Linked DNA regions of Nothobranchius furzeri. The main gene of each other region encodes a partner of the protein of the gene in region 2 in a complex. Links are inferred from orthologs where the notes say so. Each region holds a gene or a part of one and is shown on either strand. Other genes may lie near its edges. The genes, in order: pigo, pigf and pigg.

The links.
Region 1: pigf (region 2) and pigo share a complex: the UniProt entries of both Homo sapiens proteins name them as parts of the ethanolamine phosphate transferase 3 complex. The link is inferred for Nothobranchius furzeri from reciprocal best matches to the Homo sapiens genes PIGF and PIGO.
Region 3: pigf (region 2) and pigg share a complex: the UniProt entries of both Homo sapiens proteins name them as parts of the ethanolamine phosphate transferase 2 complex. The link is inferred for Nothobranchius furzeri from reciprocal best matches to the Homo sapiens genes PIGF and PIGG.

What each region holds. Positions count from the first base shown.
Region 1 is NC_091746.1:43,302,659-43,313,452, reverse strand, and holds the start of pigo (GPI ethanolamine phosphate transferase 3), read left to right. Parts: upstream 1-5,245; 5' UTR 5,246-5,412; intron 5,413-5,593; 5' UTR 5,594-5,594; coding exon 5,595-6,072; intron 6,073-6,163; coding exon 6,164-6,307; intron 6,308-6,406; coding exon 6,407-6,530; intron 6,531-6,918; coding exon 6,919-7,078; intron 7,079-8,395; coding exon 8,396-8,578; intron 8,579-8,716; coding exon 8,717-10,313; intron 10,314-10,411; coding exon 10,412-10,615; intron 10,616-10,692; coding exon 10,693-10,794. Other genes in the region: stoml2 (stomatin-like protein 2, mitochondrial), read left to right, coding at 43-142, 308-366, 451-552, 640-774, 1,444-1,588, 1,683-1,762, 1,848-1,976, 2,136-2,276.
Region 2 is NC_091756.1:43,771,184-43,782,188, reverse strand, and holds pigf (phosphatidylinositol-glycan biosynthesis class F protein), read right to left. Parts: upstream 6,498-11,005; 5' UTR 6,361-6,497; coding exon 6,133-6,360; intron 3,848-6,132; coding exon 3,756-3,847; intron 3,600-3,755; coding exon 3,483-3,599; intron 3,408-3,482; coding exon 3,299-3,407; intron 1,686-3,298; coding exon 1,572-1,685; 3' UTR 1,363-1,571; downstream 1-1,362. Other genes in the region: cript (cysteine-rich PDZ-binding protein), read left to right, coding at 6,942-6,957, 7,116-7,181, 7,465-7,519, 8,306-8,409.
Region 3 is NC_091741.1:29,979,093-29,989,409, reverse strand, and holds part of pigg (GPI ethanolamine phosphate transferase 2), read left to right. Parts: intron 1-4,736; coding exon 4,737-5,128; intron 5,129-7,483; coding exon 7,484-7,675; intron 7,676-10,317.

The DNA.
Region 1 (10,794 bases), on a different chromosome or scaffold from region 2:
AGACTGACACCAGATGTTTCTCCCTTGTTTTCTTCCATCTAGGGTTTGAACTTCCTCATTCCCATTCTTGACAGAATTCGCTATGTGCAAAGTCTTAAAGAAATCGTGATCGATGTTCCAGAACAGTCTGCAGTGTCTCTAGGTGAGTAATCACCTCCCTCGACTCCTCACAAGGGGATGAGGATGAAGGCTGTTTGTCTTTGAAAAGCATAAATCATCGTTCCAGTGAATGTATCGCTCAGTCTGAGCAAAGCAATTGGATTATCAAAACTTCTTATCCAGTTACTGCAGCTGCACTCTTTTACAGACAACGTAACACTACAGATTGATGGAGTGCTTTACCTCAGGATCCTAGACCCGTTTAAGGTATGCTGCAACACCAGCAATGATTTATTTAATTATACATTTTCAAACTGGGGCTTTTAACGTCTCCTCTCTGCCTTCTCCCAGGCCAGCTATGGCGTTGAGGATCCGGAGTATGCAGTCACACAGCTGGCACAGACCACCATGCGTTCAGAGCTGGGCAAACTGACCTTAGACAAAGTGTTCCGGGTAACGACGGATGACTGCGTTATGTTACATCGATTTTTTGTAATAGTTGTGTAAAATGTTGTAACTGGCTTTGAAATTCTGTTTTAGGAAAGAGAATCCCTCAATTCCAACATTGTCCACTCCATCAACCAAGCTTCAGACGAGTGGGGCATCCGCTGCCTCCGTTATGAAATCAAAGATATTCACGTCCCACCTCGCGTCAAAGAATCCATGCAGATGCAGGTAAGGAATTTGATTGGTGACTTTGTAAATTAGTACATTTCAGTCACTTTAGCAGCTTTGATTGGGATGTGTTCACTCCTTAAGTGTTTGGTCCGTGTTTCTCCTTGTTGGGGTTTTCTTACACGGGCGTGACCAGTAGTCGCTCTAGGGTGCAGACTGAACTGTACACCGGCTCTTGAGGTGTATCCACTCCAGTGCCGTTTGCTTTTGGTGTGAATGTGATCTAACGAAGATCTGACACAACTAACAGTCCTGCTCTGGACACTAGGCAGGTTTAGCATGCTTTGACACCACCCCCAGTCTTCATTTTAAACAACTCTCATGAAAACAAACTGAGATTTGAACCCCCATCTCCCAGTCCCAGGGCGGACACTCCACCAACTCAGGACACTCAACTATCTTCCTGCATCTACTTCTGGTAGCCCCGCCCCCAGACATATGTGAGCAATCAGAAGGCTGAATGTGACTCATTATGTTATGTTTGTTGTTTTCCCTGTGTGAAAAAACAAAACCACAAGAAAAAGCTACATTTAGGAACAGAATGGGACCAGAGGAGCTGGACTGGTGTGGAAACATCTCGCCTAAATTATTTTTTACATGCTAAAACAAAATTAAATCTACTCTTATAAAACACAAGGGTGGTATCAATCATTTCCTGACTGTGTGCAGGTTGAGGCGGAGCGTAAAAAGAGAGCCACGGTGCTGGAGTCTGAAGGGACAAGAGAGGCAGCCATTAATGTCGCCGAGGGTCGTAAGCAGGCCCAGATCCTGGCCTCCGAGGGAGAAAAAGCAGAACAGATCAATAAAGCAGCTGGTACTTAGAGTCCTCTTGGTCAGCTAAATTATTTAAACTATCCACACATTTCCACCGGGGCTCTATATGTAATGGATAATTGTGTTCCATCCAGGTGAGGCCCAAGCTGTTTTAGCTAAAGCTGAGGCAAAAGCAAAGGCCATCCGCATGCTGTCCGACGCTCTGGCTGAGCAAGTGAGTTTCTCCTTTTCTTTAATGTGACAGTGACTCCAGCTAAAGGCATTTTGTGGTGAATTTTGTTTTATTTTCTGTTGCACAGAATGGAAATGCAGCTGCGTCTCTGAGTGTGGCTGAACAGTACGTGTCTGCGTTCTCCAATCTGGCCAAAAGCTCAAACACCATCCTGCTGCCGTCGAACACGGGGGACATTAGTGGAATGGTCTCACAGGTGTGTGTGTGTGTGTGTGTGTGTGTGTGTGTGTGTGTGTGTGTGTGTGTGTGTGTGTGTGTGTGTGTGTGTGTGTGTGTGTGTGTGTTTTTTCAAAGCTCTGTGCATGAAGTACAAGCCACTGTGACTTCAATGTGTTCTCAACTTGTTCCCTTTCAGGCCATGACTATTTACAGCACGCTGGCCAAGACGAACCCAACAACATCTCCAGAAGTGGTGGAGAAGAAAATGCCGGATGTTCTAGACCAGCTGATTCCACCTGAAGAGGAGAGGACTCAGCAAATGAACTCAGAACATTAAATAACAAAGAACGGAGCCAGATGAAGCAGCTGAAGTCAAACGTTCTGATGGAATATTCAGGAAAAGCTTCAACCTTTACAAAGTCTGTGTGGTGGTGGTGTCCTGGACTAATCACGTTTTCATAGAGGATCCTCCCTGATCCTCCTCCTTCAGTTATGATTGGATTCTAAAGTTAAGAGCAGCCTTCAGAAAACTGATGGAAGTGTCGTCTCAGTTATGAATGCAACTTTTCCATGCTTTATTTTAGTACTGCAAACATTTCTCTTCCAAAAGATTTACATGAAATATAACACTGTCTACCTGTTTCTCCAGTTATTGTGTTTTAAAAAGCTGTTCTAGTTTCTATGGGATTTTAGTTGGAATGGTAGCTCAGATGAGCTGTTTGATTAAGAAAAAATAAATAAATATATATATAAATACATCTTTATTCTTTTTTTGCACTGAAATGTGTTTTACCTTTCAGCCTCTGTGGGACCAGGCTTTGAGCTCAACGCCACGTAGAAAGCTTATAAAGTCTGAATATTTATTATTTGGTCCATATTATGTTAAATCCAAACAGTTACAATGTATTTGTTCTGAGATAAGCTGATGCTAAAGTTTTTTTTTTTTACAATGAAATCAGTCAAATACCTCAGCTTGGAAGAGAAGAAGCAGATACAGCGATAACTGAATACTTTATAATCAGTGTATTTACTGAGTATAAAACACTTGGCAATTTGTGTAATTTACCCTCTAATGCACATGTGCCAGACACAAGGCCCGTGAGATAAATATCAAAAATATATTAAAGCTGGCCGGTTTTACAGCAAAGATTACAACTCCCATGATGCTTTGCTGTGTTAGCGTGGAGCTGAAGCGCCCCCTACTGTATGATTTTTCCGGTGTCTGCAGCTCCGCTGTCTCCGACAAACTAAACACTCCTCTCACTCAGTGCCGAGTTAACTCCGCTATTTGCCGATGTTGAAGCCCAGAGACGGAGATTTTAACCGCTCAGTAATGTGTTCACAACTGAAAGAAAAAGTTTTTCCAACTTGACAGAGCTGATATAACTCCAGCGAGCTGCGACAAGCTCAAATCAGCATGACTCTGTGACTGCTGTAGTTTTTATTTTTCCTCCCCGACACACATCAACGTGGTAAAGCTGCTGAGATGTTCTCCATGTTCACCAGCACAAACCTTTGTGAGCGCCTGTTGTCATCTAATGTTGTCATTACTATGATGAAAATGAACAAAACAACAGGAGTCTCCTCAGCTCAGATCAACCCCATGATGCAGGTAACTGGCTGGAACAGGTGAGCATCACAGTAAAACAGTGGAGCAAACTGAGCTCTAAATATTTTGGTTTTATGCTCTATTTCTGCTCCTAAACATGAAAGTTAACAGTTGAGATATTTCATTTTGATTTAAGATAAAATTATATTTTTATTTTGTTGTTGGCCAATCACAGGCGTAGATTTGGCATGGACGGAAGTGACATGTCCCTACCAATATCCAGTGATGACTAAATAGTCCGCACCAATAATATGACTGCCTCCGCTAAAAAAAACTGTCAAATGTCTCACGGGCCGCCCGTGAGAAAATATTTAACCTACAGTAAAACAGGAGTGGGAAAGTAGATGAACAGAATAGAAAATCCCTTTATTGTTCCTCAGTGGTAGATGTCACAGCAGCGATGGCACTTATTACAGGAGAAAAAAGGAGAATAAAAAAATAAGAAAAATGAATAAACAACAAGAAAACATAAATCCTGAATAGATTTAAAAAATGCTGAATGTACCACAAGTAATGAATACCACTGATGTGTTTTATTTAAAATTGACTTGCTCGTGTTTAATTTGGTTATTCCACATTCAGTGTTATTGCAAAATATGTTTGTTTCCAAATTAAAAGGTTCAAAATTGCATATATGTTGATAAAGAAAATGTGCAAAATTGACGTCACTTTTTCAAAAAATATTAACTTCGGCCCGTGACTTCGTCCCAGATTTTCATTTCGGCCCAGTGTGAATTTGAGTTTGACATCAAATGGATAAAATACGGAATAAAAATATGAAGTGATTTAAACTTTTTTTTAATAAAATGCCATTTAGAATCACAACCAACTTCACATCAATGCACGAGTTTAAAAAAATATTTAACAAATACATGGAGAAATACGTTTTATCATTCGTTTGATGTCTGCTTGGGTTCAAACCGCAGGAGGTTATAGCCCCAGCAAAGATGCCCTAACAATTTGCTCCCTAGTAACCTCCACCGGTGGTAGCCAAGGTGGTCCCTGACCAGCCTGGACATGTGTCCTCATTAGACAAGTATTTCTGTCAAATTGTTAAGACAAGATTGATGTCTAGAATTCCACTGCTCTCTGTATATTTGTAGTTATGTTGAACAACTGTTGCAATGTATATGGTCAATGACAATTTATAGCACATTGAAAACCCAAGATGACCGAAGCGCTTAAAAAATTATATATATATATATATATATATATATATATATAATTTTTATTGTGTGTGTAAAAACTGCCATGTCGTTTGTTTTATTGATTCTTTTTGGTTTATTTTCCACTTTAGGCTATTTTAACCCTTTCATGTATGAATTATGAAATCTTCAACCATGATTTTTTAACTATTTTTTTCCATTCATCTTTAGGTGTGAATGAAACAAATTTCAACAAATATTTTTGGAACATTTAATAATTTACACATAATTTATTACATGTCCACCTCAGTGGACAGCGTCCATTCTGAACATGAAATATGTTGACTTGACTTACTGAAGTCCAACTGGAGGGGCTCAATCCAAAAAGTCTTCAACAGCTGTGCTTAATAGCAAAAATAACAATTTTGAGTACCTGTCCGCTGAAGTGACCATTATGCATCAACGGGTTAAAATGTTTAACCCGAGTCCTCAAAAGAAGACACCCTCGGGTGTTACTGAAAAAGCAGTCCTCCGTGAATTTCCGCCGGGTTCCCTGCACGCTAGAGTTCCTACCTGTAATCTCGCTGTACCAGAAACAGTGAAGGACAATGTGTCTCTCCGTTCGCCGTCTACCTGAGATACCCGTACCACCTTGTTGTTGTTGTTAACACACACATTCACCTCCGGCCGAGAGAGGACGGAACCTCATCCGCTACAAGGTCAGTCCAAAGCGAGGCGAGCTAGCCTTGCTAACGTTAGCCACCTGATTATCGACAGTTTATTTTGCGTTACATTCACATTTCTCAGAACCTGGTTTGTAGTTGTTGCTAAAGTGCATTTACTTTTTTCACGTGAAGCAAAGCTAACTTCCGCTCTAACTTCTATCACCTGCCGGTTTAGGATGAAGGGAACGCGAGTGCTGTCCCTGCTCCTTTGGCTGTGTCTGATGTACTTCGTGGGCATCTACCTGTTCGTGGGCGGCTTCTTGCTGGTGAGGATGGAGGTGAACAGGACCAGCACCTGCGGGGACATACTCGAGCCTGGGGATGGGTCTGGGGACTTCTGCGGCTCCCAGCCGCGTTTCCGCAGGGCTGTCCTCATCATCATCGACGCCCTAAAGATCGACTTCGCCCGGTTTGACCCCAGTAACACGGCGCCGCGACCTTATGAGAACAAGATACCTGTGCTGGAGGAGACCCTCTCTTCTAGGCCTCTCCAAAGCCGTTTGTACACCTTCCGAGCAGACCCACCCACCACCACAATGCAGAGAATCAAGGGCTTCACCACCGGATCCTTGCCGACCTTTGTGGATGTGGGAAATAACTTTGCATCCAGCGCAATCTTGGAGGACAATCTTATCCAACAGTTTGGGAAAACTGGTGAGATTCGTTTTTTTTTTCCTTGCTTTTTACCAAACATCACAACACTATATTTACTGTGTCTTTGTGAAACGTGTCGGACCTCTCACAGGCAAACGAGTGGTGTTCATGGGCGATGACACTTGGGAGAGTCTGTTTCCCAAGAAGTTCCACCGCTCCCTGCCTTTTCCTTCTTTCAATGTCAAGGATCTGCACACAGTGGACAACGGGATACTGCAGCACCTCTACACAACTAGTATGTATTTACCACCAGAGCTTCACTTTCCACAGGTATTCAATGCCTCTATCATGCTTAATTTCTGTTCGCGCACTTGTTTATGTTGGTTTGAAACAGTGATGGGTGACGACTGGGATGTCCTGGTTGCCCATTTTCTCGGGGTAGATCACTGTGGTCACAGGTTTGGCCCTGACCACCCAGCCATGGCTGATAAGCTCACCCAGATGGACAGTGTCATCAGGTCAGATGATTAGTACAACAGGCTTTGATTTAGACAAAGACATGTTTATTCAGACAGTCCTACTAAGGGATAGACTCAGAAAATTCGCTGCTGCTTAAAATGAAGTATTTGGCTGGAATGTTTTTTTTTTTTTGTTAATAAAAATTGCTTTTAGAATAAATTAATGATGAAATTGCAGCAACTTCTGCTGATGCAGTTCCCCTAAAACTTAAACAATAACAACATGAGTAGAAATGAGAAATATAAACAAATACGTCTCGCAAAGTTATAAAAACAAGCTTAAGATGTAAACTAGCTGCTATGTGAGTGAGGATCTATTCATTTAACATGTCATCCATACATCTTCTCTCCTTTGTTTGCTTGGTGCTCATTCGTGCCCTCTGTCCAGGTCTGTGATCGACCGCCTGCAGAATGACACCCTCTTGGTGTTGATGGGAGATCACGGGATGACCGACACTGGAGATCACGGAGGGGAAAGTCAGAAGGAGACTGATGCTACCCTCTTTCTTTACAGTCCTTCCCCTATCTTCCCAGCACCACTGTCTCAGGTAGGTGTAGAAATTATGCTTTTTTTGGGTCAGTTTTAACCCAAAACTATCAAAGCAGGTCAAAAGGTCAAAAAAGGGTTAATCTTGACAACATATTAGAGACTATTATATAAATTATGACTGTGTTATGCAGGTTTATAAAAAAAATAAATCCGTTTAACTGCTTTGATGTATAAGTGCAGACAAGCATACTGAGAGTTCGCTGTAGAATATGTGAAGGCATGGCAGCTTTATTTGTATAGCACATGTCAGACACAGAGGCGATTCAATGTGCTTTTCAAGAACAGCATGAACATGAAAATCAACGTGACCGTGAGCAGGTCCAGTGCAGAAGGTGCAGCATAAACATTAATTTAACGACTGATGAAAATATGAATGTTTTCAATTTTGATTTAAAAGTTTTTAGAGTTTGGTCACATATGAGGTCACTAGGAAGCTGATTCCTTCTTTTTATAGCATAGCAGCTAAAAGCAGCTTCACCCTGTTTGGTTCTGACCCGAGGTTCTACCAGCTGATCGCTTCCTAAGGATCTCAGAGCCCTGCTGGGCGTTCATACATGAAGGATATCCATCATGCCCTTTTCTTTAGTTCTTTGTTGTACACAGAGTGATAAGAGTTTGTTACCTTTGCTGACATGTTTCTATGTTCACTGTCGCCTTTGTCAGAACAACTGCTGGATTTTGATGGCGTCACTTCCTTTTAGTTGTGGGATGAAGTGACGCCATCAACATCCGGTGGTTGCTCTGATGAAGGCGTTGGTAAAACACTGAAACATGTCAGCAAAGGTAACAACAAACCCTGAAAGTACTTTGAAATAGATTGTGTAGTTTACTGGTAACCAGTGTAGAGATTTAAGAACAGGAGTGATGTGCTCGGTTCTCTTGGTTCTTGTTAAGACTCTAGCAGCAGCGTTCTGAATAAGCTGCAGTTGCTTCACAGCTTTTTTGGGAAGACCAGAACAAAAGACCATGAAGATTTAACTTAAAACTCAGTCAGGACTTAATGGGATGTTTTTGGCCTTTTAAAGGTTATTTTTATGAGAAAGTTCATTTCTACCCAGTTAGTTCATAGCTTTTCTTTGTTTCATGTATTTAGATATTTGTCTAGTATTTTTAAACTTTTATTTACATTCATTTTTTTTTCTACAAGTTTCCCTGATATTTTCTTAAAGTGTAAAACTAATTAGATTTTCCGCTAACTGTAAGAAAAAAAATTCTATTTTTATTAATTTCTTGTTTGGAACCTCCCTTTTCTCTCGGCTGCACATTGATATGAGACATTGTTCAGATATAACCATGCTTTGTTGTGATTTGACAGACGGAACCAGATGTGGTTCCACAGACTGACCTGGTGCCCACCCTGGCTCTGCTGCTGGGGGTTCCCATCCCCTACAGCAGTGTGGGGCAGGTCCTCCTCCCATTATTCTCTCCACATGGGCAGACAGGAAGTGCAGTTGGGGGTCTCAGCCAGCTGGAGGCGCTGTGGATCAATGCAAAACAGGTAGTTTAGGTAGAAAAAAGCTTACTTTATAAATCTTGAAGTCCCCAAACAGAGAAGATCCCTTTTGTTCTCCTCACTTAAAGACAAATTAACTGTTGTGTTTTGTTTGTTTTTCCTCTTTCTCTTCTGTTTCTAAAGGTTAACCGTTTCCTGGAGACATACTCCAGCATGGCCAAAGATATCCCACCAGAAAGCCTCTCCCAGCTGCAGCAGGAATTTTCCCGCCTGTCCTCTGAGTACCTCCTCACAGCTAGAGAGAGCCGATTGCCCTCCTCTCACCTGGTCTCTGCTCTGCAGGCCTACCTCACCTCCGTCAGAGACATCTGCCGAGCCACCTGGGCTCGATTCAATCCGGTCAAGATGGCGGCAGGTTTAGTCCTCCTGGCGTCTGTCTGCCTCGTGTGTTTCTTGATGTCAGAACTCTCCCCGGCACTGATGAGGGAAAAAACTGCTGGACTGCTGGCTCCGCTTGTTGTTGCGCTCGCTGTGGGGGCTTGTGCTGCAGCTGCCCAGCTGCTCACACGGGGCTACGTGGAGACAGCATGGTGCCTAGCGGCTGGTGCCTTCAGCTCTGAAATTCTCTTCTTCTGGAGAGTGTGTAGACTCAGCCCCCCCGCCGTGACAAAGAACGGAGCTAAAGCCTCTAAGCTCTCCAGGTGGCTGGTCCTGCGTCGCCTCCTCACTCCTCCTCTCATGGTGCCGCTCCTCCGATGTGCCTCCCTGCTCTCAGACAGTTACGTGATTGCTGAAGGCCGTGTCATAACCTTTCTAGTGCTCTCTCTGGTCATCTACATTCCTATTCATCTCAACTGGAATGGCTTACTTCTGCCCCCAAGTCCCGATCCTCTGAAGTCTGCTGGGCTGCTGCCGTCCCCAGCCTTGTCACCATCAATAGTGAGGAAAGAGAGTGGGATCCTCTTAGCTTGCCTTGGAGTTCTCATTGGCAGCATGTACCTCTCCCTCTCCTTCCATGGGTGCAGAGAAGAGCAGGGCTTTTGCCAGCCGTCGCCGTTCCTGTCTCCTCTGTCACGGTTGCAGGACAGCCAGCTGAAGAATCTGTACTACATCCTCTCTGTCATCTCTCTCGGTGTGTTTGCGTATCTGCTGAGACACTGCCTGTGCCACTATGGTAATCTGAACTCCTCGGGTGGCGCGGTGTTCACGGCTCGCTGGATCCTTCCCCTGCTCTCGGTTTGCCTGGCACTCCACTGGGCGGTTAGCGCCACTCCAGAGGACAGCTTTAGGAAGCTGTCCGAGCTGATCCGGCTGGCCCAGCTGGCCCTGCCGAGGGCGGCCTTCTGTCTCCTGGGACTCGGGCTGTGTCTCATCTGGCTTGACCCTCTTACTGTGTTTGTGAAGGCCCGGGCTACTTCTTCATCCAGAAGTTCAGCCCCTGCTCTGCCTCGCTACAGAGCGAGCACTGGCATCAGCCCCCAAGCTGAGCTGCGCCACCTGATCCCTCAGATTTACCATCGCATGCGACGTTCCCTGGAAGATGGAGAGCTCAGCGGAGGCATTGAGGCAGACAACAGGCCCACTGTGGAGGCCTACGGACTGGGAACCGTCTACTCTGCCCCTGTGCTGCTGTTCTGGGGAATGCTGGGAGTTGGACTATTGCTGTTGCACCCAGAGGGCATGGCTCTGTCTTTCCTCCTGCTTCTGCTAGAAATGGGCGCTCTGCTGCACATTCACGCCTCCTCCGTAAATCTTAGTGGTGCACACGGAGCTTCTACGGGTACAGTCTCACCTAAACACTTAGTTTTTAATTCACAGCACTGCCCATTGGTAAAAAAAAAAAAAATCTGCTCTCCTCTGTCTGACTGTGTCCCCTAGGTGGTTTTACCGTGCCCTGGGCTCCAATAGTGGTCTGGTCTCTCGCTGCTACCCAGTTCTTCCATGCCACCGGTCACCTACCCACCTTTCCCTCCATCCAGTGGGGTGCTGCCTTTGTGGGGTTTCCTGACGGACACACAGGCACCTTTTTACCTGCATTGCTGGTTTCCCTCAACACCTTTGCTTCACACATCCTATTTGCAGGTAATCCTATAAAAAGTCATGTAAAATTGTAAGAAAATTGACCAAAGTATTCCAGCAAGCATTATTTTTGTCCTCAGTGGGGTGTCCATTGCTGCTGCTGTGGCCCTTGGTGCGTGAGGTGCGTGGGAGCAGAGGTGGGAGAGCTTGTGGGGAAGAAGGTGAGGATGCCGTCATGGAGA
Region 2 (11,005 bases):
CGAGGGAGAACAAGAGGCGTGGGCGGCTTGAAAGGGGGGGGGAAATTAATGTCCTGAAAAAGAGACTGAATCAATATGGTATCCCCGGGATGTGAAAAGGTGGAATGAGAATGAGGCGGAGCAGGAGGAGGGCTGTTGTACTGTACTAATGGCATTTGAGCAAGATTAATGGCTGTTTAAGGAGGAAATGTATTAATCAGTGGACAGCTGCAGGTGCAGGACTTCACCAGTGTGGGCGGAGTTTTAACATTTTATGATAAATAATCATCCAATCGCATTATTGATGGTGTTTCTTTGCTTTTGTTTCTTTAGGTAGACCAAAACACAAGCCATGACCCAACAGCACCACCTACTGGTTTGAGATTTTTCACCAGCAAACACATGCACGTGTGCCCCATCTGCCCTTTGTCACCGGTTCTGTTCATTACCTTTATGGACAGAATTTCTAGGCACAGCCGTGGTGTGGAGTGTGTCAAGTTTGGTGGCAGGAGAATCTCGTCTCTGCTTTTTGCGGATGATGTGGTCCTCCTAGCTTCATCCAGCTCTGACCTTCAGCTCTTGCTGGGTAGGTTCGCAGCCGAGTGTGAAGCGGCTGGGATGAGGATCAGCACCTCCAAATCTGAGACCATGGTTCTTGACCGAGAAAGGGTGGCTTGCCAACTCCGGGTCGGGAGAGAGGTCCTACCTCAAGTGGAGGAGTTTAAGTATCTCGGGGTCTTGTTCATGAGTGAGGGTAGGAGGGATCGGGAGATCGACAGACGGATTGGTTCGGCATCTGCAGTGATGCGGACGCTGAGCTGATCTGTTGTGGTGAAGAGAAAGGTGAGCCAGAAAGCCAGCCTCTTGATTTACCGGTCGACCTACGTCCCAATCCTCACCTATGGTCATGAGCTTTGGGTAATGACCGAAAGAACGAGATCGTGGATACAAGCGGCCGAAATGAGTTTCCTCCGTAGGGTGGCCGGGCTCAGCCTTAGAGATAGGGTGAGGAGCGCGGACATTCGGGAGGGACTCGGAGTAGAACCGCTGCTCCTCCGGATCAAAAGGAGTCAGTTGAGGTGCTTTGGGCATCTGGTCAGGATGCCCCCTGGACGCCTCCCTGGGGAGGTGTTTCGGGCATGTCCTGCCGGCAGGAGGCCCCCGGGTCGACCCAGGACACGTTGGAGAGGTTGCATCTCCAATCTGGTCCGGGAACGCCTTGGGGTCCTACCGGAGGAGCTGGTGGAGGTGGCTGGGGAGAGGACGGTCTGGAGCTCCCTAGTTGGGATGCTGCCCCCGCGACCCGGACCCGGATAAGCGGAGGAAGACGACGACGAGTCATCCAACAAAAGCCATGGCATTATAAGATAAATCCAGTCCCTGTTCATGTTTAATTAAGGAATGGTTTATTCATGTCAAAAAAACACAAGTTCAGCCTGCACAGGTACAAAACAACCTCTCGTGTTGTTACAAAATCCCTTACAGACTCAAAACACTGCAAACGCTCTCCAATAAATAATCAGTAAAAAGTTATAACAGACCTAAAGGAACACATTCAGACAAACGCAGACAGGAGGTCATGTGTCTGTCTGTCACTTGCACTTGTATGTGAGCTGTTTGCGATGATAGTGGATCCAGGCGGGAGCAGAAACAAGCCCGGTCAGGTAGCCAATCATAGCGCCAAGGCTGCAGGAAACTGGCCAGACCTGCAAGAAAGGACGGCACGTTTACTGGCACCCAGTGTGATGAAACACCTCAATACAGATGTGAAGGATCCTTATGAGCATGCCCTGACTGGAGCTGTGTTATTTTAAATAAAAGGCTCTTTTTCTTAAGTTACAGCACATAGAACATAGTCTCCATAACAACCACTTCAATCTGCCTGTTGTACAATAATTATAAGAAATTTAAAGAAAGTAGAGCGAAAGCATCAAAGATGTTACAAAAGAAACACCTTATTAGGTTCACCTGTCCAATTGATTGTTTACACACACACACACACACACACACACACACACACACACACACACACACACACACACACACACACACACACACCCACACACACACACACACACACACACACACACACACAATCAGCTAATCACAAGGCAACAACTCATTAAACACGGAACTAAGAATTGGTAAAGATGACTTGCTTAATGTTTTTTCAACACATTTGCAGTGGTCTCAAGTATAAACGAGTGTGAGTCGATCTCTTTGGGAAAAAGCTCTGGCGCTCCTGTTTTAGGAAGTAGAAGTGAGCCGTAGCAGAGGAGGAGCAGAAGAAGACAGATTTGGAGTCTTATATCAGACATCTCGCCTCTGATTGGCTAACAGCAACGTGACTCTACCATTGACTTTGTTTGATTTGCAACGTTAATGTTTTATCTCAACAAATAACGCAAGCCTGAAGAAGTTCTGCCATGTAATGAAGTTGCTAATGCTAACGGTTAGCTTCTACTAGCCGAGACATGCTCTGCTCTCTCCTGGATGCTAAACCAAAAACACACTTCTCTGTAGTGAGCAATGGTTTCTCAGTGAACTTGGTCTTTCAGATCAAACTGACCATCAGAATGAGGAGAAAGGAGATTTAAGTGACTTAGAAGGTGACATGATAGTTGGTGCCAGACTGGCTGGTCTGAGTGTTTCAGAAACTGCTGATCTCCTGGGAATTTCACCTACAACCATCTCTAGGGTTTATATAAAGTGAGTTGAGAAAAGTGAAAATATCCAGTGAGCAGCAATCGTGTAGATGCAAATGTGTTGTCGTCAGAGGAGAATGGTCAGACTGGTTGGAGATGATGGAAAGAAAACAGCAGCTCAAAAGTCCACTGGTTCCAATCAGAGTCTTGTTGTTGACCACAGTGGACCCATCTGCTTCCAGCAGGATAACGCAGCATGTCACAAAGCTCAGATCAGCTCTAGTTCCAACAATATTTTCATTTCATGCAAAGAGCAACAACATATTTTCTGGATGCTGATACTGCACTTATTGGGGTCATAACATTTTCAGTATGTCTTTTTATTTGTGTTGCAAGCCCTTAAACACACTCAATATTTAAAATAACACTTGCAAATTGGATCACACATCAGCGTGATTCAGATTCCCTTCTCATCAGTAACTAAATGAGAAAAAGCAAAAACTCAAGAACATTTTTAAAAGGAAAGTTAAGACTCATGTTGATTTTGCAAAGATAAAATAAAGGGAATTGTTTAAAAAAATTGTATTTAAGAAAGTTTGATCTCAAATTAAAAAAATAAAATTAAAATAAAAGCTCAATCATGTACATGTGGGTTTTCTATGCGAGCTGCTGACCTGCCAGGGCCTGTCCCAGTCCAAAGGAATTGGAAATGCTCCAACCCAGGCTCCTATCAGGGTGCAGGCCACTGTGATCTGCAGGCAGGTGTCCCACACTGACATGGCTCTGAGGACAGGGACAGATCAAGAGTAAAGTGTGGGAATGGGATGGAAAGATGATGACAGGAGAGTTTTGGCTTACCCATGCCGACTGAACACTCGTATCCAGGTCTGAACGTTAGGGCCAAGAACACAGAGGCACCTCAGCGTGGTCAGTGAGGTCAGGAGGACAGAAAGTGAAAATGTCTCTAAAGCAGATCTAAAAAGTATAAAGTTAAACACAAGCTGTGTCAGCTAAGTAAAACCGAAGAAGAGAAGCACTGCTGTAGATAAATCTAGAGTGAAAACAAGCTCTAAATACACTGTTTAACAATGTGTGTGTGTGTGTGTTACTTGAGCAGAATCAGCTACTCACTCTATCAATGGAGCTCCATAGAGAACCACCACCGTGTAGAAGAACAAACACGACAGGAAGAAGTACAAACAGGAGCGAGACAGCCTGGACAGCTGAGGACAGAAAGACATGATCGGATTAAAAACTAAATGTTTTGGGATGAAAACTAAAATCTTAGAGCATTTGAGAATGTGAATGTGAGGGATGGGTTCAAAAAATATGTGACCAACAATAAATTATAGAGAAGTTGATCATTTAAGCATGTAAAGAAGCACATCTTGCAAAATATAAAGATTATTTATTTGTCAATTCAACACACGTTAAACATGAGGTTCATTATTACAGCCTAAAACGTAGTAACTACAGTAGTAAAAAACATTTATAGCAAAATAATATCAAAATAGTAGTAAAATATAACAAGTCATAATAAACAAAGTGAAATAATTAATATTGTGTAAAAAAATACATTTCCTAACTTACAACTTTGGTTTGATATACTAAGATGTTTTAATGAAATAGTAACAGCTTCTAAATCCAAGACCATGCTCTTGAGTAGCCTTCTCCGGGTCAGGGATGAGGTCCCGCCTCAAGTGGAGGAGTTTAAGTATTTCGAGGTCTTTTTCACGAGTGAGGGAAAGCTGGAGCGTGAGATCGATAGGCGGATTGGTGCTACGTCTGCAGTGCAGCGGGCGTTGTACCGATCTGTCGTGGTGGAGAGAGCTGAGCTGGAAGGCGAGTTTACCAGTCGATCTACGTTCCTCCCCTCATCTATGGTCACGGGATTTGGGTAGTGACCGAAAGAACGAGATCACATATACAAGCGGCTGAAATGAGTTTTCTCCACTGGGGATCGGGTGAGAAGCTCGGTCATCCAGGAGGGGTTCGGAGTTAGACCAGCTGCTCCTCCACATCGAGACAAACCAGTTGAGGTGGCTTGGGCATCTAGTTAGGATGTCTCATGGACGCCTCCTGGTGAGGTTTACTGGGCACTTCAAACTGGGAGGAGACCCAAAAGAAGATCCAGGACACGCTGGAGGGTCTCTTGGATGGCCAGGGAACGCCTTTGGATTCTGCTCCTTCCAGATTTCTTTGTTTTCACCTTTTTGTCACGCCAAAATGTTTCAGATCAGCAAACACATTTTCAATATCGGACAAAGATAACCTGGGAAATTAAATGTTTAATTTATTAACAAAAATAGTCTAAACCAACCTGGAAACGCACTGTCCAAAATGGAATAATTTGCTACAAGTCTTAAGGATTATTCTTTTTTTAACAAATGTGAGAGGGTCCTTTATGTTCTTCTTTGTCAGCTGAGGTCGTCATCATAGGACTCTCACATGGAGGCCATTTTTGTTTCCCATCTCTTTTTATTATTAAATCCTGAAGTCTGACCTCGACATTAACCAAGTGAGACCTGATGTGTTGCTTCTTGAGATTTTTTTGCCTGCTTTATGAGACATGTTCTCTGAAGTCATTTCTAGAAGAGGCAAATGAACAAAACGTAATTCACGATTTAACAAAGGTGGAGGTACTTCCTTTGTTTCTTTGTACGCTTTGAGGTGACTTATGTTGTGAACTGGCGCTTTATGAAAAAATTAAATTTATTTGCCTCAAAGCAAGAATGCTGCAGGTTCGAATCCTGCCTGCATGGCCTTTCTGCGTGGAGTTAGGATGTTCTCCCCATGCTTGTGTGGCCCTTCTCCAGTAACTTGCTTCCTCCCATGGACCAGACACATCCATGAAAAGGGTTCAATAATGACTCTAAATAGTCTCTAGGTGGGAGAGTGTATGTTTGAATGGTTGTTTGTCCTTCTATATGACTGGAGACCTGTCCAGAATGTCCCCTAGCTCTCATCTGATGATGATTAGCGCTAAAGATGAGCCGTTTAGATCATGGATGAACCGAATTAAAATGAAATGAAACTCGGATGGTTTTGTTAGCTCTCTTCCCTTCATAAAGGACATAATCCTTTGAAAACTGCATTTAGTTTAGTTTACTCAAGTTCTCTTTGCCTGATGTTGAAATTTGTTTGATCTGAACCATTTAAGTGGGACAAAAAATTAAACAAATAATATATGAAATGTGTTAAGAGACAATTACTTTTTTCACACCTAAATAAAATAGATCATAACAAGAAACGCTTACAATTTCTACTTTTTCATCACCTCACCTTACAATATCCAAAACTTACCTTCATTTTCACACATCTATTAAATTTAATTAAAAAGCAAGTTGACTGATGTCCATTTCCCTGTCCAAATAATAATAATATTAATAATAACAAACGAATACATTTTGTAAAATTCATAAGATACCTTCACATATCACATAATACATTTATATGTCGAACATAATCAACAATTCACTTTAAAAACATTATCTAGTTGTTTTGGCACCTTGTATCCCAGTGTGTGCTTTTTGGTGGGCGGTGAGATGCCGAGCAGCCAGAAGATAGCGACGCTGACACAGGTCACCGTACCGGACACCGCGTAGACCCACAGCAGGTGAGTCCCATACACTGAGAAGCCCGGGACAAACACCGCGGGGATGACCGTGGCCATGAACACCGAGGCGGTGATAATCGCGTGAGTAGACGCCATAGCTTTAATTTCATGGTCCCACATGATGAAGACGTGAACTATTTACAACAAGAACCCGATAACGATGCGGGGAAGTCAAATAAAACACCTAAAAAACGTAAGGTAACATTGGGAAACTGTCAGGTCTATGTATTTCTTTTCCGCGTTTCCGTAAACACGAAGACGTAAGAACGTCCGCTTAATTTCACAGTAAAAGTCTACTGCGCACAGACATCTTAGGTGAATGATGAAAAAACATCCGTTTCGAAACATATTATCATAGATTATCGGGTCAGTTTATTTCAATTTCAAGTGAAAAAGGTGTATGTTTTACTTGTTACTCAATCTCTGCTAATGAATACGCTTGGGTTAAATAAGGTAAAAGTGCTTGACTTTATCAAACATTTATTTTGAAGAACCTATAAGCAAATAAACGGGAAGTAGTAAGTTATAGTTCGCGTTGCGTAACTCAATTGTTTTAACCAATCACAGAAGATGTTACTCGTTAAAGCAACCAATGAAACCTGTCATTTGAAATGCCTCAGCTGACCGGACGTTTACATTAGCAAAGCAAGCTAAAGCTAACAAACGATCATTTCTACTGCGTCATTCGACACACCGCAAAGATGGTCTGTGAAAAGTGTATGTATGTCATTTGCTTCTGATTTTCAGACGTATTGTTCATTTTAAAATCTGATGAACGTTACTTTTGTCAGCGAAAGTCTCAAATGCAAACTAGAAGGCCAATAGTTTAGTTCTTATTGTATTTTCCTCCATAATTGTTTTGTTTTATATTTTAGGCGAGAAGAAACTGGGAAAAGTAATTACCCCCGACACTTGGAAGGACGGAGCACGGAATACAACAGGTGACCCGAGGAATGCGTAGTGAAATGTTTTTTTGCCATCAGTATGATAAATTGCTGTTTGTTAATTATTCTAGATATGAGACTTGTTGTCTTGTTTACAAGTTACTTTTGAAAATGTAATCATTGTTTCTATATTTTTTCACGTTACTAGCAGGTTTAGTCCTCATTTGGTTGATCACGCCATAATATAAATTAATTGGTGTTTATTTTTTTTATATTAGTATAGGTATAGTAACATTTAGATGTCCGTGTTTAACAAGTTTGTCTTCTTTCTTTGTGTCAGAGAGTGGAGGACGTAAGCTAAATGAGAACAAGATTTTGACATCCAAAAAAGCCAGGTGAGTAAAAACAATTTATAGAAAAAAATAAACTTTAATTACAACAATCTAATGAATGTAAATACAAATATGAGAAGTCAGAGAAAATATTCTAAACGCATTAATATACTTATCTTAAAATTACCTTCTTGAAATTGAACCAAAAACTGTTATTTTACTAAAGTTCAACCTTATCATATAAAACTTTCTCACCACCATATTTGCTTGGGCATACATTTTGCTGCATTGGCACAAATCACCACATGAATCATCATTAATCATCTGTCCTTAGTATTTTACTTTATGAACCACGTTTAAATCCTGATCTTCTTCATTTCTTGCAATCATAACAGTTGATTTTTACATCATAGCTGGAACACACTCTTAAGTAACTGTTGCAAACCTGCTCTGAAGAGTAAAAGACCATCAAATCTTCAGCAGTCATGAGATGATTGGTCATTATTTCCCCATTCATCCACTCTTATGCTCTCTTAGTTAAATAAAACTTAGATCGTCCATATACAAGTTAAAGGGAATAGGTGACAATATCTGGTGAACCTTATTAGTAACAGAAAAGGAGTAGCTCTCATTTGGTTTTTAGTCTGATTGTAAGATTTGTATAGAATATGAGGTGACACCTTGTTCTTAAATCTTCCTAAAAAGCCCATCATAATGAACTCTTATCTGAACTATTCCTCAGAAGAAGTCACACAACGGTTTAGCTACTGTTTTTCAATGTTGTATATTACTAATTCAAAGTGGTCAGCTGATATAACTGGTCATGTGTGTAACAATTATTTTCATCAGGTTTGACCCTTACAGCAAGACTGGCTTCGCAATCTGCAGGATCTGCAAAAGCTCAGTTCATCAGGCTGGATCTCACTACTGCCAGGGCTGCGCTTACAAGAAAGGTATGAAGTGATTGTGCTGAAGATTTAGTTTTGTGTCACAAAAACGCTACAGCATTTCTATTAGCCCTTTTACATAAAACACACACACACATGCTCTCTATTCAACACCCTGCTGAGTTTTTCACATGTAATCATGTCACCAACAACATTATCCTTTTCCTCTGAGACAAATCCATCTGCATCCTATAGGAAAACGTGACAGTAACTGGGACGAGTTGTGAAACTGCAATGTTTGTCTGTTGTTGAACAATTCAACTTGTGACTTTTCTGCTCAGATGTTTTCATTTTTCAGTGTGTCTTAGTGTCAGAATCCGGAGAAAATTACAGCCTCACATCAACAGAGACTGTACTTGCATAATCTAGAGCCATTCTCGATAGGTTTGTTTGAATACAGTGTGTTTGTACTGTATTTAGGCTGAATGATGAAATGTAAACAGGGCTTTATCTAAAAAGGCATATCTTGATGAACATTGAAGCAAACTGTCTTAGTTGCAGGAAATGAAAGAGTGGAGTGGCCATGTTTCAGATGGTTCATCAAACATGGAAGATGCTCAGTGAAACAAATCATCTTTATAGTTTGCTGAAGTTTTCTTTTTTATTATAATGATTTCAAGGCCTACGTGTCCCATTGAACCTGCTGCCTTTGGTATGTCTTCATGATGATGCCTAGGTAGACTCACAATTAGGAATAGGGCTGCACGATATTAGAAAAACCTGCGATATTCGATAACAGTGTTTAATATTGCGATATCGATATTACTCACGATAAATGAACAAATACTAAAGTATGCAGTGTTGATGTCGTCTGGCGTGTGACGTCTGCTCTGGGTTCAAAGCAAACAAAACTAATGCATGAATTCCATTACAACATAACATTTTTATTGCAAAAATATGCAGCTGCACCTGCTACTGTATTAGTAGCAAAACAATAAACTGCATGCATGCAGTTTCTCAGTGACTTTAAAACATCACCTCCACCATAAAACTTTTTCTGATGCTCCAAATGCAGAAAAACATCCCTTACCAGGGTTTTTGAATAAATAAAAAAATATCAGAAAATAAGTTTAAATGTTAAATAATAGTTAACATCACTTAAATGGAACAGCAAATTCTCTCATTGCTACTGAGCATTTTCTCCACTTATGTGGTTATGATATAAGGCTGTTGCTGCTATTGGGAAGTGAACTGTGCTGGGCCAAACTAGGAGAATATTAAGATTTTCTGAGGGAAAGAGAAAAACAATTGTCTACCTTTCAGAAGAGGAACTGGCAAAAAACTACATGGAAAATATGTGAAAACGTTTGTTTTTAACCCCAAATTGAACAAGTTTACCTAGATCTTAAAATGCAGCTCAGATGATGAAACTGCAACTATGATTCTGATAACAAGCTAACAAATTGAACTAAGATAACTGGCTAGCAAAGCTTCTGATTGACAGTTTATGTGCAGCAGCAAATCAACTATCCTGATTAACAAGGTTATAAAAGCTCATAAATGAAAAATCACTTTGATGTGTGGGGGAACTTTTCCAGGCCCTTTTTAGCAGGGTGGGACTGGGAGGAGAGTGCTGTTGCCTTTTAGCTGGAAGCTAACCGGCGCCTGGGGCTAACATCACCACCCGGTGGAATAGTGAGAGAATGGCCCTGTATAAGTATGCAGACGACATGGCACTGGTGGCATCAGTCGGAGGACCTGTCTAAATATCAGCAGGCGGTCAGCAATCTGGTCCAGACATTTGAAGACTTTCACCTGGGGCTGAATATCTCAAAAACTAAAGAAATGTGCTGTGGGGCAGCCAGTGAGGCAGACACATCCCTGTTCAAACCCCTCAGCATACAGGGTCAGCCTGTGGAGCAGGTTCAGTCATTCAGGTATCTGGGAACAGAAATTGATGACCACCTGTCCTTTGCAAATCACAGCAACAGTGTCTACAAGAAAGCGCTGCAAAGACTCCACCTGCTAAGGAAGCTAAGAGCACTCAATGTGAACAAGGACATCCTAACAATTGTATACAAATAACTGATTGAATCCATTCTAACTTTAAATATTACAGCTTGGTATAACTTTCTTGCAGTTAATAACAAAACACAACTCTCTCGCATTGTTAAACTAGGCAGCAAAATTACAGGCTCACCTCAGATCCCACTTTCTGTTCTTCACGAGCGAGCAGTGCACAGGAAGGCAACCCTGATCAGTGCAGACTCAACCCATCCATTGAACCCACATTTTCAGCTACTTCCATCAGGAAGGAGGCACAGAGTTCCATTGGCCAAGAAAGGTGTCTATAAGAAATCATTTGTTCCCACCGCAATTACAATTTTGAAGTCTTAAAATTTTTTTTTTTTACGATAACATTTTAATACCTTTTAATTGTCTTTTATATATTTGTGTGAATGCGATATGGATTGTATTGTAAGGTGAGCCATGTCAAAGGCGAATTTCTGCCTCAATTCGAGGTGGACAATGAAGTTTATCTATCTAACACTAGCGATATGGAGGTAGGTGGGTTGGTTCACCGGCACGTGTCAGCCCGGTTACTATCAGCTGCTTAACAACACCGTGCGGACTCACGTTTGAAAGCAGCGCTGATTCCAGA
Region 3 (10,317 bases), on a different chromosome or scaffold from region 2:
ATGCTCCATTTTTCCCCCACTCGTGAACAAGACCCCAAGATACTTCAACCTCTACTTGAGGCAAAACCTGGAGAAAGCATTTTACCCTTTTTCTGACTGAAGACAATGGTCTCAGATTTAGCGGAGCTGATTCTCTGTCATTTGAGGCCCTTTCTAAAATCATTACTGTAAAAATTATTTTTGATCTTTACATTACTTGCCTCAAGTGGAGGTTGAAGTATCAAAAAGAGCACACGTCACCCCTCTGTTCATTGAGCTCCACTGGCTACCGCTAGCAGCACGCATCAAATTCAAATTGCTAACACTAGCATACAAAGTCCGAGACGGTACGGCTCCCATCTACCTGAATCCTCTTGCAAAGGCTTACGTCTCGGCCCGGCCGCTCCGGTCATCACAGGATGGTCGGCTAGCGGTGCCTACACCACGCTCAGGACTATCCAGACTCTTCTCATGCATCGTTCCACAAATGTGGAATGACCTTCCAAGCACTACCAGAACAGGAGCTTCCTTTTCAATTTTCAAGAAACTCCTGAAGACCCTGCTCTTCAGAGAGCATCTTCTAAACTAGCACCCTCCCTGCACCTGCCCCCCCCCCCCCCTCTCTACTGTCCTCTCCTTGTTCCCTCCTCTCCATGACTGATGTCAAGTTGTTGTTATTGTTGTTGTTGTTAGCCTCAAGGGCAACATGCCAATTATCACTAGTAAGTCGCTTTGGACAAAAGCGTCTGCTAAATACATAAACATAAACATAAACTAGACGACACACTAATCCACTTCATATCTATCATTCCATTCATATCTTGTCATGTATAATCGTTAGTTTTGGGAAAAGAAATAAATTCATTTTATAAACTATATACTGACTCTGTCTGAATTAATACGAAGTGTGTTTATGGTCCCTGAATACGTAAAGTAACTATAATCTTCTGATTAACATTGGAAGATCAATCAGATTGATATTTCATATTTATATGGAATTATCACATCTTATTGGTCATCTCAATAAATATGTAGTAAATCCTCAACACTGATAATAATGGAGGCATACGTTTTTAATGCACTTCCTACCCTGCTGTTGTGTGTTGCCCTCATTCTACCATTTCTCGGGTTTAGTCTCTTGAAGGGGGGAGGGATGCTCGTCATTTTTTAAGAATTGCAAAGTCACTAATGATGTTTATTACAGCATTGGCCCATTTTATTAATTGCATTAGTTTTTAATTGAACATTGGTTTCCTAAATCAAAAATATAAACTTGTAGAGCTCATTTTATAGTGAAAAAAATGTGCTGAAGTGAAATGTTTAGTTTCGATAATCTGGCCACAGGGGGTGGTGGCGGTCTGAGTGACCTTTCATTAACCCTGTAAAGGGTCATTTATGCACATACTGAATCAAGAAAGTCACCATGTTCAGATTAAAAATATGAAAAAGTTGCATCGTATCCCTTTAAACTGTCCTGATCGTCTTTTGTATTTGTAAGGGAAAATCTATTCTCCAGTCGTCTAGTCCCACAGCGAGCTCACTGCTGTAACCTGCAGGTAGTGTATGTAACGACTCAGCCCCTCCCCGTCATTGAGATAAACATGGGCCATGACGCATGTCTGTGTGCTGCAGTAGAATGCTGCTGAAATTGGCCGAACTTTATCTGAACCAACTTCACAGTCAATCAAACCATTTACAAACAAGTGTGCAGCTGGAAAATCTCCAGTGTGTAGAATGGGATGGACTCATCCGTAAGAGACAAGCTGCAGCTGATGAGACAACTCATGGTCAGTCTGAGCAGGAAATGGCTGTTTTATACTAAATAGTAATGTGGTGGATAATCAGATGAAAAGGTAATTCTGTCCACCATAACAAGCAGCCTGTAAACAAACAGTGTGAACAGATAATAAATCAGCTGAGTCATGTTTCTGTTTATAGTCTTTCTGACCAGATCTGGCTTAAGTGGTTGGAATCAGGATGTTCTGTTAGGAAGTTCATGGGTCATTTAATTGATGTCACTGGATGTGTTTTTCAATTATAAACAGAGTGGTTTGAATTACCTGCAATATTTAATAAATCTACTTATCCCTCTGGCAACTGTGATGGCAAAGTACAGAGGTGTGTGTATGTGCAAGTACGTGAGTAGTAGAAGGTAAGGAGGTGAGTAGGAACGAGTTCCTCAGACTCTACCCAAAAATACAACATGGCAAGAAATTATGGTTTCACTTCCAATTTAGTCAACACAAGGCCTGGGGCGATAACAGATTTTGCTGGACGATATATTGTCCAACAAATTATTGACGATAAACGATATTATTGTCGACATTATCGAGACCAAAATAACCACTTATGTAATGTTAATATATCATAATAATGAAAGTACACACTTTAAAATGCAACAATAAAATCTTTATTTAACATTGGAATGTCCAGAACCAGAACTTCCAAGTAATTAAATAAAACAAACAAAAAAAATCAATAAATAAAAAAGGACTTTCAGTCTCTGTTAGAAAACATTGCAGCAAAAACAATAAAATAGAACCTGTCTGTCCAAAAAATAATAATAAATAAACAATGGCCTATCCAGTGTCAACAACCAAAACTGCACTTCAATAATGATAATAAATATTAATAATAGAATTGCACATTTTTTTACCTCGATATATTGAGGATTTTATTTATAAAGCACTTTACAAGCAAAAGTGCGACTCCAAATCTTTTACAGATTTAAAATGACCCCAAATTCCTGTAACAGTTTAAAAGCATCAACAGTCTCACACACACACACACACACACACACACACACACACACACACACACACACACACACACTCAGACACACACACAATAACGTCAGTAAAAATAATATTTAGCTGAGTCCAGATGAGCCAAGTAAGGTAAGGCAAGGAAACGCCATCAGAGGAGCCATCTGCCCCGGCACCATCAGGTCAGTCACAGCAACCAAGTCAGTGCGCCCAGAGGAGGGAGGCCATAGACCCCCACCACCACTCAAGCAATACCTCTAGAGCGCCCAGGCAGCATTACTTGACCGCCGCCCTGGGGCAGAGGGCCCCCACAAAGGAAGCACTGGATTAAAATGAGTTAAAATATAAAAATAAAAGAGCAAAATAAATGATAAAAGTAAGAACATAAATAATACATAAAAATCATATGGAGAGTAAAATATTATTATAATTAAACAATGAAACAATGCTTGAATATCATCATGTAAAACGTGCTCAGCAAGTAATAAAATATAATCATCCAAAATGAGAAATAAAACTATAGTCAATAATTAGTTAAAAGCTAATCTAAGCGCAGTGGACGTGAGGGTTCATATGGTAAAAGCAATTCTGAGAGATAAAAAGGCCCAAGACCATTAAGACACTTAAAAACCATTAAAAGAACCTTACAATCGATCCTGAAACATACAGGGAGCCAATGCGGTGATTCTGAAACTGGTGTAACGTGCTCCCACCTCCTAGTCTGCGTCAGGGCACGTGCTGCCGAATTTTGTAGAAGTTGTAAACCTGAGATGCTCTTTTTGGGAAAATCAGAAAGCAGGGCATTACAGTAGTCAATTCTACTGGTGATACAAGCATCAGTGTCTCGTGTTGGCCACAGAGAGAATGGGCGGACTCTGGCGATGTTCTTTAGATGATTAAAACCTTAATTTTCATCTATCGTACGATTAATTGATTTATTGATTATCGTCCCAGCCCTAGACAAAACTAAAAGTGGTAAAATGGTAAATGGCTTGTATTTGGTATAGCGCCTTCTAGAGTCCTATAACCCCCCAAGGTGCTTTACAACACAGTCATTCACCCATTCACATGCTGGTGGTGATGAGCTAAGATGTAGCCACAGCTGCCTTGGGGCGCACTGACAGAGGCGAGGCTGCCAAGCACTGGCGCCACCGGTCTCTCTGACCACCACCAGCAGGCAGGGGGGGTTAAGTGTCTTGCCCAAGGACACAACAACAGCAACAAACTGAGCAGGGCTCGAACCTGCAACTTTCCAATTACAGGGCGAGTACTTAACTCCTGTGCCACCATACAGAGTTTTGTTACCAAGCCCTGTGGAACATTAGTTAAGGTTTATTGTGTTGTGTTTGTCGTTGCACTAGTAGCTTGCAACGTTCACCACTAGGATTGAGTCTTGGCTGAAAGAAAACCAAAGTTGTACCCATTTCTACTTAGCACTGGTTTTACGTGTGAACAAGTGATTGTTAAACTTTGTGCAGTGTAGATCTAACGCTGTTGAGATTTTTGTGTTTTATTGCTGTCTAGAAAACCTCAACCAGAGAATCAGAAATAGTTATACACTCTAATTCAACTAGTTTGTACTATTGTACTATGATGTATTAGCCTGGCTAACCATCCTGTGTATGTAGTGAGACTTGAACTGGAGGCTGAAATGCTCCCTTGGATACTTCTGATCATATAAGAGCACACAGACCTGCGCTGTTCCACTCGGGGGTAACGAAGCATCAGATGCCCACCTGGCTTCTATATTTGCCCAGATAGCAGTCTGACGGAATTCATTAGAATCCGTCTCCAAAGAGACCCTGTCCTTCGGTCCACAAGAACCCAAAAGTTTATTTTAAAGGTCTTCCGACGTTCATACATTAGGCTTTGAATGGATTAAAACTTTTATTTGAATCAAAACGACAGTTTGGTTGTATTTTCTTTCCATTTTCCTTTGAATAATAAGTCTCATTGTCCTGTTTCCTTCTCCTTCCACCCTCTCCTCTGAAGAACACCGGTGGTGATTGGTCACTCTCAGAGTTGGACGTCTTGCTGCTGGCAGGAACCATCGGTCACACGCTCAGCTTGGCGGCGAGTAGTTTTGTGGAAGAGGAGCATCAGACCTGGTACTTCCTCCTCAACACACTCTGCCTCGCAGTCTTTCAGGACGTCTGCCGAAAATACTTCAGAGAGCAGCGGGGCTTTGGAGAGGAAGAGGAGCTTTTCCTCCCTTCCAAGGACAGCCATCCGTCTTCTCATCACAAATCTGAAGTGAGCTCAGAGAAGTGGCTGGCTCTGGCCACGCCCCCGTTCACTCTGGTGTGTTGCAGACTGCTGCGTTCCCTCAACCAAACCGGAGTTCAGTGGGCTCATCTTCCAGATGTTGGACACTGGCTGAACAGGTTAGCAATATCAATATTACTGTGTTTTCACGTGTCCTTTCTGTTTAGACAGGTAGAGCGGGTTGTCCAGTAATCGGAAGGTTGAAGGTTCGATCCCAGCTTTGATCAGAGAATGCTGCTGTTGTGTCTTTGAGCAAGACACTTAACCCACTTCGCCTGCTGGTGGTGGTCACTAACAGAAAAGTGACTTTTCATAGTCTAAATGTTTGCGTACCTTATAAAAAGTTCTGTTTTGGTAGCATCATTTCTTGCAAGTTTCATTTTACTTGCCAGAGAAATCATGATGTCTTCCTAGGAGTTGGAGGTTTAAGTAGGAGCCTGGTGATGTCGTGGTTACTCTCATGTCAGAGTGAGTGGTATCAGCAAGCACAGGTCCTTGAGACCTGCACACAGAGACTCGAAAACAAATTTCTCACCAAAACATTTTGAATGTTTGTGTGTGAGAAACTCGTCAGCATCATACAGAACTAAAGCTTGGTTTATGCTTGACACATTCACTTTCCGCGCGGTGATGCGGCTCGCGGATGGAACGCGCTTCACAACTCGCAGCGTTTATGGTTCATGCGGCTCGTCTCTGCGGTGAGCCAATATTCTCCCAAACTGTAGGGGGCAGCATGGAGCTCTACAGGATGCATCCAACACTACACCATAGTAGAAGTAGAAATTACTGTTTACAACACGGCATTCCAGCATTTTTAACAGCGTCCTCGTCTTTTCCGACAGTGCGAGCTATTTCTCTCCAAGAATTATTAACAACATGTTGATCACGGTGATCTCTGAGAGCTGAATCATACAAATGTCTGTATTTACCAACCTCTGCCGTGCTAGTTCTTGCCGGTCCGCCATGTTTTTCCGCGTCCGTCCGTCCGCGTGGTTAAAAATTTTCCAAGGTGCGCGTTGCGGAAATTCTGGGCCGTGCGGAGACGCGGTGGAGGGGTGTGGTTGTTAAAATGACGCAACTTTTCCTTGCGGAGCCGTGCGGACCTCGCGGACGCGTCAAGCATAAACAACCTTAATTCTGTAGACGGGCCCCTTTCCAAGCCCCTACATGGCTTTTGTTTCAGAAACTGTCCGGACCTGTTTTGTGTGAATCTGGATACATCCAGAGGGCTGTCAAATATCTTTATTTTTGAGTATTTGGTGAGCAAATAGCCACTTCATTGACTGACTTGAGACGTGATGATGCATAATAAACAGTTGGATGTAAAACACAAGGTGTATGATTTGGTTGTAACCACATTTTAAAAGTTTAAATCGCTGTCTGCTGATGCTGAAACATTTCACATTTGTTTCTCTGAGCAGCAGACAGGAGCCCCCACTTAACATTTCAACAATGGAATGAAGCCGTCTGATTGCTCAGACTGTAGGAAAACTGATTTCTCACAAAAACCGGAACTCTTCCGCAGCCATTAATATTCCGACAGCAGCACAGGGCTGGGGATTTTGGTTTGTTCTTGAACATGTATCACATTGTGGAATAGAGATGTGGATTCTGACCTTTTCTTGGACCAGCGTTGCCCTTTCTTCCCGCCTGCTCTGCCTGCTGCTTGGGTAATGAGATCCAGGTAGCCTTGTGCCTCGCCGTGTCTTCAAGTTTCCGATGACTGCCTGATCCCACTAATGGCTAAACGCACAGCTTCTGCTCAACTTTGATGCGTCCTTTGTGGTCTCATTATTTCCTGTCCAAAATGTCTTACCGTAAACAATTTAAAATCTGTCCTTTTCTAGACATAATGGACAGGCACGGTTTCATCTCAGTGAATGGTCGGCTTAGTAAACACCCCTCTTTTGTTTTGAATGAAGATGATGATGATGATGATGATGGTGATGATGATGAATTATTGCACATCCTGTGTTTATTTATTGAATCCGGTGACAATGGTGTGTACAACATTTTTGATAAGCGCATAAATTTAATGTTAACGAGCAAGCCACTCCCAAATCATAAACTATATAAATGAGTGTCTGACCGTGCTGCAGACTCGTGAAGTCAATAATTTGGCACTTTAGTGCATCTTAGTTAAAATTTAAATGTTCTGCCTAAATCTGTCAGTGTTGCACCCTCTTTAGGTAAAAACTCTGCACTGCATTTGAATTTAAATCTGCCACTGGTACACTATGACATTAGCTGGTACATTATGATGTCACAATGTCATTGTGAGCCTGTGTGTGTATTTGTTAGCAGCTCCGCCCTCTGAGTCTACCAGGCAACAGCATTTGTTGCATTTTAGAAACAGGAAGTGGGAGTGGAGTAAGACTCTGGTAGGGGGTGACTTGCTCTTTAAAAATGTACAACGCATACTTTATTTATTTTTTTATCAACTTATAATTCTTGTCTGTTGTCTTTTCTTGCAGCTCTGATCACAAGACGGTGCTCTCGCTGCTGTCTGCTTTCTGTTTGGTTCTGATCTACCTCCTGGTTCAAAGACGATGTTCACTAGTCTCCAAGTTCGCCCTGGCCCTTGGACTTCTGGGTGTCTACAGCTACCGGGCAGCTGTTGGCAATGTCTTGTTTCCCTGGCAACAATCCACTCGAACTACGTCCAAGTAAGTTGTGCGAAGCACCGGAACTTGATTTCACTCGCTGCAACAGCGGGTCAAGACTCGGTCTCTCGACAGTGAAGTGATTTAAAGTGTGGTGGTGCTCTGTGATGTAAATGAGCACATGGGCTGTAATGTGTGTGTCATCTGGGACAAACACCAAGACCAAATAATTAACTTTGATGATAAGCTGCTCAACAGTTCATTATTTTTTCTTTTCTCCACGCCTACCTGCAGTAAATCTCCAGTGTCTTATAAAAGTGACGCAGTTTTAAATATAAATGATTACACTGAAAAGGGGCATCACACCGGCTGACTGTTGATTTAAACCAATAGGAAATGCCTCACCATTGACAGCTTTTTATTCCGACTAATCTTTTCGTCTAAGCCCAGTTTCTTCTCTCTGATGGATGTGAAGTTACATCCTTGCAACATAGCAGGAAGCTGCTTGGTTAGAGCTGAGGGTTGGAGCAGCGTTGTAGCACACCATCCAATCTAGTCTAGGTATACATTTTTCTGTTTTCCTGCCAGAATACTAAATCGCTAGAAGTATTGGGACAGTGCAGCAAATCAATGCATTCAAGGACTGCATTGGAGGTGTGGACCAAAATGTACATCTAAATGATTTAAGCTGCATTCAAATATACAATAAATCCCTTGAAGGTGAAGTGTGTGAAAATAAAGATGACATCATCTGGTCAAATTTGCTAACTGCAAGCTACCTCTCACTCCTGTTTGGTGAGATTCATGGCTGTAGGCAGTTACGCATCAGCACCAGAAGATTAGAGGTGACAAGCAAAGATGAGTCATACGCAGTAAGTTTATAAGTAGTTGTGATATCTGGTGTAGGCCCTATTGGGTGCTTTTACGGAAGAGAGCACTTACTCATCTTACTATGGTATTATGCCTCCGGTGTGTTTACCGTCAGGTAGGGTTGTCACGGTGTGAACGGTGTGGCCAAAATTGTCACGGTTTTTGCTCCTATCTGATTTTTTTTTAATGTGTTATATTTCCAGACAACTAAATAAACCGTCTGTCAGGAAAATATTGTCCTCAGTTTGCGTTTAAATTTTGTTTTGTAATTATGTGTTTTATTTGTTTAACTTTAAAATACCAAAATTTGCCCTTAGCATTTAATTTTTTTTGTCTATTTGAGGTCATCATTTAAAAAATATGAGATCAGATGATACTCAGTACTCAAGTGGCCTTCTAATCAATTACCTTTTCATCCTTGCTAGAGTGATTTCTTGGAGAGCCCCATCTATGGATCAGGGGCTTTCAGACATTTTTTTCTTGCACGTGCTGGCAACAGGATAGCCGTCTTCCATCGGCAGTCCCTCGGAATTCTTCAAATATCCAAAATATGCCCTTATTTTTTTTTTCTTCTTCTTTCTTTTGGGGGGGGGAGCTGGCTCCTTGGAGGGCTTTAGTCCAACCAGCCATTCCTCCCTGTCCCCACACGTTACTCCTCCTGCTCCCTCACATCATCACACAAACATGCACATAGGACCTTGGGGGGGGGTGGGCAAGTCAGGGAGTGCGGGTATGGACCCCATTTCCGCATTCCTGTGGCAACCTGCCCCCCAATTTTATTTGCACCTTAAACACTTCCACTGACGACATTCCACACAAACACACACTTAGGGCCTTGGGAGTGAGCACATTCAATGGCATTCGGCAGGGGGATATTTCAGCCTCATCCCGAGTGCCGGTGCCCACTTCCAATTTTAAACTGCACTTAGACACCGAGGGCTGAGGGCGCAAGTGGGGTGGTGCGGTGGCATCAACTGGCGTAGGCCAGATGATGCCACCGCACTGCCCACTCACCTCAGCCATGGAATACACCTCATCAACATGCACTAACACCATATTGGAGCAGGCGGAGGGAGACTAGGGGTCTTAGCACACCTCTGTTGTCGCTTGGCTTCCCGGGGCTGGAGGCTAGGAGGGAGATCTGGCTGTCCGGTTGGGGTCTGGGGTGGTGGGTTGCTGTGCTCAGCATTGGGCGGGGGAGCCTGCTCATCAGCACCCCAGCAGAAAGGGTCGAACTCTAGGAACCGGTGATGGTTGTACCCCATGTGCAGCAGTACCGGGACCAGAGTGAACAAGGTGTGTATGGGGAGCATGAGTGGGTGTCCAGCGTGCATTTTTGTAAGTCTTGGGTTGTATGTGCATGTGTGAGCATGAGGGAGGGAGTGTGTGACTGTGTCTGTATGACTGTATATGTCAGGTGGGGCCTTTGACTCCTCCCTTCTCCCGGGACTTCTTTTGATGCTATACATCTTTGTCTCCCCTCCCCCTGCCACACCTGGTGTGGAGTGCGGTGCCTTGGTCTGCCTGGGTTCGTGGCTCTCAGGTCAGGGGGTTTAAGGTTTTTTTTTGGCATCTGTCTGATCAATCCCGGTTGCTGCCTGGTGGGATCTGGGTCCCGGGTCGCTGGGTCCCGGGCTTGGCCGGCTGGGGGGTGGGAGGCTGTGGGCATGCCTGTGGGCTTGCCGCTGATATCTCCTGGGACTCTGCCGGCTGCTGGTTGTGGCCCTTCCGGGGCGATCCTCTGCGCCTCTCGAGGGGGGCAGGGACTTTTCTGGTCGCAGTCTCCTTGGGGTCCCTGCCCTCTGGGGCAGCTCCTGGATCTCTGGGACTTGGAA